2 linked regions of the Caenorhabditis elegans genome follow. The protein of the gene in region 1 interacts with the protein of each later gene in a pairwise test. Each region holds a gene or a part of one and is shown on either strand. Other genes may lie near its edges.

Region 1 (3,307 bases):
AAAATAATCATTAATATCAACTTTCCATTGATTCCCATACCGCTTGCAAGAGAACTTGATGCTCCATTTCTTTTTTCGCAAGTTTTGACTTTGTTTCAGTCAATTCCTGCTCAAGATTCTTCAAATTTTCACAATTTTCCGGGATTTTCTGAAAAAAAAACCATTTTCTATTATTTTAATTTATTTTTAAAGTATTTTTTAGCTTACACCCGTCTTCTTTCTCTTCTTAATTTGCTCACTTTTTACGGTAAAAAATCTGACATCGTCTGTTGAGAGCGGCGGCAAGGCGGAAATCTGAATTAAATATTAATTTTTCAGGATATACATAAACTGTAAAAAGAAACCAACCAGAGCCTCCAGCGACTCTTCAATGCTTTTTTCAGCGTCGAATTTTGGCTCCTGCTCCGTTGGATCCTTTTTCGCGGATTTAAGAGTCATTTTCTGCTTGAAAAATGTTTGAATTGCTTCAAAAATGATTTTATTCAAAAGTAGTAAGTAAAGGAAATTGATGAAAATTCGGCAAAATTCTGATTGAAACACGAAAAAATTGAAAAGTTTGTTCGTTTGACCGGCTTTATCAGAATACGAAAAATACAAATTTGTGCGCAAAATAACAAATTATTTACAAAAATTGATTCAAATCAGAATATTCCAGAAGGAAAAAAATAGGAATTAAAACAATGTGGGGGAAAAATATTACACAATTGGTTCGCCAGATTTAGATATAAGCGATCCGCAAGACGTGGAAAACAGGTTGCTCTGGAAGATGAAGTTGTCGGTTCGCTTGGGTCCAGTGTAGAAAGTCGCTTTCAAAAAGTTGCGTGCAATTGTGCAGTGCTCCGGAATAAACCTCTTGTCGATATCTTCACGGCGACAACATTGCTCAGCCGTTTTCAATATATGCAGGATACGATTGTCCAGCTTGAGATCGTGGAAAATCTGAAAATATTTGAATTTTAAAGTAAACTGTCTGTGTTGACTCACCGGGGTCAGTTTTTCGGCAAAGTTCTCCATGTTCAGCTCCAAAAAGGCTTTCAGAATATCGTTGACTGGCTCAGTTAGGCCATTTTTTCGGCTTCGAAGTTCAGAAGGATTCAGCAGTTCGTATATTGAAACCCAATTTTCCATGACTTCGGCATCCTCAGTGACTTCCAAAGTTCGGTTTAAATCGTTTTCCAGTGCTCCAGAATCCGAACTTCCCTGCATTTCACGCTGTTCGACGACTCGTGCTCGGACCACGTCACTGAAAAACCAAAATTTTTTCAACTTTTCCTCCGCGAAAATGAAATCCTACATGATTTGCTCGTGAGCAAGCGCCGCAGAATATAAACCTGGGTGCACGGGTCTGAACGCTTCGGGAATCTGATCATTTGCCATTAATTGGGTGCGGCCAAGGATAACGTTGAGCATCGGATTATTTCGAACTGAAAAATCGTTGGTAATAAGGGAAAAACTTTTTTAAAAACTCAGAAAACTTACGAATCTCCTCAACATCGTCGTCGGGCGATGAATCCTCGTTCTGGTGCGACGATCCTGGCTGGTCTTGATTATTCATGTTTATTCTTAAACAAAATTATGAAAAATTTGGTTAAATTGAGTTGAAAAGTCAAAAACACATTGAAAAAAAAAGTTTCCCTCTAAAAATGTGTTGGGCGGGGCTTCGTAAATCGACACGCAAAGTGCCGCACGGCTTTTTGCAAGACGTGCGCGCGGAGTTTCTATTTCACTGAGTTTTTTTTTCAGGGTTTTTTCAATATGGAAAAAATACATAAATAGTTGAAAATCTAGAAATTTCAACGTAAAAACGATAAATTTGATAAATTATAGTTATAAATTGAAGCTCACGCTGCCACTTTGACTAAAAAATAAAAAATCAAACAACGAGTCGGAGCTCGTGGAAGACATGAAGTCGGATTGATGGAGAAAAATTATTTTGTTTTAAAATAAATTTGAATTCTACTAATGGCAGGAAAAATAAACACAAAAAACAGAAGTGCAACGGAAAAGGCTACAAAAAACAACTTTGCGCGTCGAGTATAGTGTTTTGTACGCAGAGTTGTGTGTAAATTTGTTTTTAATCGACGATTAAATTCGAAAATTCCGCTAAAAATTAAAAAAAAAGACTGAGCATTTTAATTCTCTTCAAATTTAAAAATTAGGTCAAAAACAAATAGTTGAAATTGCTTGAGAAGCTCGTACCGTAATCTAGTTTTGCTCGTCATTTAAAATGCAAAGTACGCATTTAATTTTTAGGTTATGCGCCTTTAATTTGCTACGGTATAATTTTTATAGAAAAAACTGTTTTTCTCAAACAATTAAAAAATTAATGAAAAATCGAAACTTTTTGTATCCTGGCAAGTTTAAATGCTTTTTTTTCACAAATTTTGAGTAAAGACAGTATTTTTTCCCGACAAATTTCCAGATTAGGGTTTTGGGACCGTCTTCAGCTGCAGGCCGTGACATCTTCCCGTACCCTCCGGTTGTAAACGCGCTGGGGACACTTGTTATTGATCCATATACGCACATAGGCCAACGGTCCGCAGTAGTCGAACATTTTTTTCGCATCTCAGCACATTTCTTCTGGTTTTTCCGAGCAACTAATTATTACTTTTTCTAGTTCGAAAATGGGCAATTTGCACTCGACAATTATGGAGCGTCTCCCCCAAATTGCCCAAATTTTCAACAAAAATTGGATTTCAAATCTCATTGTCAAAGTTGGTCAACTACGCGTCGAGCTCACCACAAGAATGCTCAACTTGTTCCAAAAGCTGCAATTCCAGCAGTTGCCGGTTCGTCAGAGGATGGTCAGAGTGGGACCAGTAGAAGAAGCTCCAGGAGCTGAGTGGGTGGAATACCAGGATCGTATCGAGTTGTACAATACAAATGAGATGAAGCTCATTTATTTCGTGTGTGCGATGAATATTCTGTTCCTTGGGGTTTTCCTGCGTTATTTGTTCTATTGATTTTTACCTTGTATTTCTAAAAAAAATTCATTTATGTATGTAAATTGTGTCGAATTTGAAAATTTTGTGAAATAAATGGTTTCTGTAAACTTTCGGTTGCCTCAGAGGTTGAGCGGCAAACGGTTTTTTTTCTTGGCAAATCGGCAAACCGAAAATTGCCGATTTGCCGAAATAACCATATACAGGGGTACGATAACTAGAAACGTTTTGCTCGCGACAAGACCCATGACAATTGAACCAGGGGTTGGCGGAAAATGATTTTTTCCGGCAAATCGGCAAATTGCCGGAATTGAATTTTTTTGGCAAATTGCAGGAATTAAAATTTCCGGCAAATCGGTAAGCCA
Region 2 (3,608 bases), on another chromosome or scaffold:
AATAATCCTTTATTTTAGTTGTGAAATATCTCAAAATTCGGTGATAATCGACATATCGATGCTCTATTATACGTTTGGAAATGGTGTCAACGACGACGAGGGAATCATTAGAATTCCATATTCCGACCACTCTTCAAGAAGTGAAATTCTTAAATTTCTCAGTCATTTTCACTTTAAAACGATTACGCCGTGTACTAAAAAGTATTCTATCATTGAGCTGGCATCTTTGGAAAATGCAGGAAAACGATCAGAAGAGGACCACACAGTAGAAAAGTAAGTTAGTCTCATTATTGAAGCACGACTTTCGAAAAAGGGAAAGTTATTCATATTCCCAAAATTGTGAATTTTAATTAATAGGAACATCTTACTTTAGGACTCAATCTACTATCCAAGGAACACCCATTTCACAACTTCAAGAAGACCCTCTACCGCCTGGAGTTGTATTTCGAACGAATACATGCGATTTTATGGATATGGACTTGGACAATTGGCCGGAAGGACCTCCGAAAACATTTGCGGAAGCTATCGCTCGGGCCAATAATTCAAGAAGGCCGAGAAATCCAGGACTATAATTTATTAAAACTTCACAACGGTTGATGCAATAAAATTAAATATTACATGATAAGCATTCGACATGATGAAAGTTTAGGATAACAGAACGATTTGAAAAAAGATTATTCAATTTTTAATATCATTACAGTTCGATTAACAGTTGCCCACATTTTGGCTGTTCTGATTCTTTTAATTCATGTAGAAAGTCGGGCTTTCAGAGCTTCTTCTTGTAGACGACATTTTTGGTACTCACTGCGCAGTTTGGCAACTTGATAATGGAAAATAATGCGAAGAGTGTTGCGCTCTTTGTAGGTCGCTCCACATGTTGGACGGAGAGAAGGAATCATTTCAGAAATAGTCGATGATTGATCAGCGATGGCGACTTCTAGTTGTTTCTCTGCAAGTTTAGTTGATAATACCATCAAAATTTTTTTTCAACTTACTTTCAATGTTTAATTCATCCAGATTGTTTTTGAGTGAATTGAATTGACCATTCATCGAATCATGTGACTGAAAATATAACATTCAGAAACCCACTCTTTTTAAAAATTATAAAGTTATCGAGCAGACTTACCAAGTTGTTCATCGATTTAATTAATGAATTGAAGTGATCTCCGAACTGTGTACCCGCACTGTCCACATCCTCGTTTTCCAAATAAGACATTAGTTCATCATAGGCTTTTTCTTGTCTCTCTTCCCAGTCTCTTTTCTGTTCAGACAGTTTATTGTCAGTTGCTGTCAAATCCTGAAGCTGTCTTTCTAGACTTTCTCGTTGAGCAGCACATTTAACCCTGTCTTCAGCAATTCGCTCGGTGAATGAAGTTTCGGCTGAAGAAAATTTTAAAGTTGAGCCTTTTTCAATCTGTCAAACCTTCAAGCTGTTGAGTTTCGATTTGCCTCATTCCTTTTTCTATGGCCTCTGAAAATGTATTTTTAAATTCATATTTCATTGATGTTTGCCTCAAAACATACCTCTTTCCCCAGCGAGCGAGTTGGTGAACTCAGTGAGCTGCCCGCAGAAAATTTTGAATCGGTCACCATTTACTGCCTGACTGACAAGCTTTTCGAAATTCATTTATCTCTGAAATTGGAGATATTGAAATGGCCAATTCACAATAGAAAATAAAAATATTTAAAATTAACAAAAAACCGTAGCGTGTTTGCGATCGTTGCGAGACCCACATGACTTAAGAACAACGTGAGCCTTTAAACCGTATGTTTTCATGAACAGTTTTATTTTTATTCACTCATTAAACACACAAAATATTCATTTTTTAAATATGTATTCGCTTCGACAATTTTTAATTCAAATTAATTTTATTAAATTTAAGCAACAACCTACACTCAAAATAAAAAAACTGCGTGGCCTGTACTGCAGAAAACCTCATTTTTAGGCCCCGCCTTTTTCTCGTCCACTCACGGACAAAAGGCAAAAATTTGGGGACCAACCAATATCAGGCCGCCGACATCCTACGGGTTCCGCGCGCCGCTAGGATTAACTCGCTGTGGGCGTGGCGAGCTGTCTCCGCCCGCTGCGAGTTAAACATAGCGGCGCGCGGAACCCGTAGGATGTCGGCGGCATGATATTGGTTGGTCCCCAAATTTTTGCCTCCACTCCGTGAGTGGACGAGAAAAAGGCGGGGCCTAAATATGAGGTTTTCTGCAGTACACGCCACGCAGTTTTTTTATTTTGAGTGTAGTTTGTCCCAAGCTTAGGCAAATTATAATTATTCCCAGCTTTCAATGCGACGTACTTGGTGCTTCATCCTAAATAGTTTGCTGCTAATCCAAGCGCTTGTTTTCTTTTTCAAATTTCCTCGCTCTACTTGCGGCCGCGGACGAAATTATTCGGCACGGCCATATGATCATCCCCGTTGCGAAATTTACTCTAACATATTTTAATATGTTTTCTTGTGATTATCAAACTTTTTTACAGATGTCAACACAAAGATTAATTAAATTGCCTCATAGAGTTCTTTTGAAACTTCATGGCTCTGACACAAACGCGTTTCTTCAAGGTTTAATTACAAATGATGTGACGTATGTTTTTATACTCTAAAAATTACAGCGAAAATGATTACATCTTATTTTGCAGAAAACTTCAAACTCAAAATGGACTTGCTGCTTTTTTGCTCAACACAAAAGGGAGAATTGTTGAAGATGTTCTTCTATGGAGACGAGGAACTGATGATTTGTTCTTGGAATGTTCTAAAGAAAATAAAACTATTTTAACAAAAGAAATCTTGAAATATCGATTGAGGAAACAAGTTGAAATCACCGAATCTTCCGATCAAATATTTTTCACAGAAGATGTATCGGACAAACAAGGTAGAAAATGAACGTCAAAACTTTAATAACATTTTATTTTAGCTCACCGCGATCCTCGATTTTCTGGTTTTGGAGCTCGCGTTTTCGGTAATCCGTCTTCATCGGAAGTTAGCGAAAATCGAGAAAAATATGAAAATTTGCGACGATCTGCTGGAATTGCAGAAGGATCTCAAGAATTGGCGGAGTTGCTTCCTTTTCAGGTAAAAATACAACAGAAGCAATTTAAATGAAATATTTCTAAAAGTTCATTTTCAAATATTATTTTTTAAGGCAAACGGTGATCTGCTCAATATGGTTTCACTTGATAAAGGATGTTATGTTGGACAGGAATTAACTGCAAGAACTGCTCATACAGGTTACTTCAACTAAATTTAGATATTTGGAGACGTGAAATCTCACTTTCCTTTTTATTTAGTAACTTGTCAATTAAATTTTTGTAAAACCCACAAAACTAGTTCAATTTGATTTTGAAAAATTAAATTTTGACAGGTGTTATCCGTCGACGAATCTTACCATTTGAATGTGAAGGTCAAGTCAAAATTGGAGCAGAAGTTCTGGACGAGAAGAAAAATAAAGTCGGAAAGGTGTGTTTAAAAGTTATAGTGATAAAAAATTCATCTAAACGTTGGAATTATCTGGAGTCAATTCACTGTCAAAAATTGAAAAACAATAGTTTCTGTTCAATTAAAAAATCTTCAGATTATCTCTTCTGACACAACTCGTTGCCT

Evidence for each region. The genes of interacting proteins can lie anywhere in the genome.
Region 2: the proteins of F54D10.5 (region 1) and syp-3 interact in a two-hybrid assay, tested with the Caenorhabditis elegans proteins (one large-scale study listed by BioGRID).

What each region holds. Positions count from the first base shown.
Region 1 is NC_003280.10:3,806,616-3,809,922, forward strand, and holds F54D10.5 (uncharacterized protein), read right to left. Parts: upstream 1,563-3,307; 5' UTR 1,556-1,562; coding exon 1,480-1,555; intron 1,425-1,479; coding exon 1,295-1,424; intron 1,244-1,294; coding exon 985-1,243; intron 940-984; coding exon 697-939; 3' UTR 556-696; downstream 1-555. Other genes in the region: F54D10.4 (uncharacterized protein), read right to left, coding at 41-148, 208-294, 349-438; F54D10.10 (uncharacterized protein), read left to right, coding at 2,625-2,963.
Region 2 is NC_003279.8:8,662,488-8,666,095, forward strand, and holds syp-3 (Synaptonemal complex protein 3), read right to left. Parts: upstream 1,634-3,608; 5' UTR 1,628-1,633; coding exon 1,525-1,627; intron 1,472-1,524; coding exon 1,424-1,471; intron 1,381-1,423; coding exon 1,127-1,380; intron 1,063-1,126; coding exon 996-1,062; intron 950-995; coding exon 747-949; 3' UTR 573-746; downstream 1-572. Other genes in the region: mrt-1 (5' exonuclease Apollo), read left to right, coding at 19-273, 374-572; F39H2.3 (Aminomethyltransferase folate-binding domain-containing protein), read left to right, coding at 2,489-2,592, 2,648-2,880, 2,923-3,080, 3,151-3,235, 3,370-3,464, 3,580-3,608. UniProt on the Caenorhabditis elegans protein: Plays a role in early meiotic events; during prophase I contributes to synaptonemal complex (SC) assembly, synapsis and chiasmata formation and stabilization of homologous chromosomes pairing.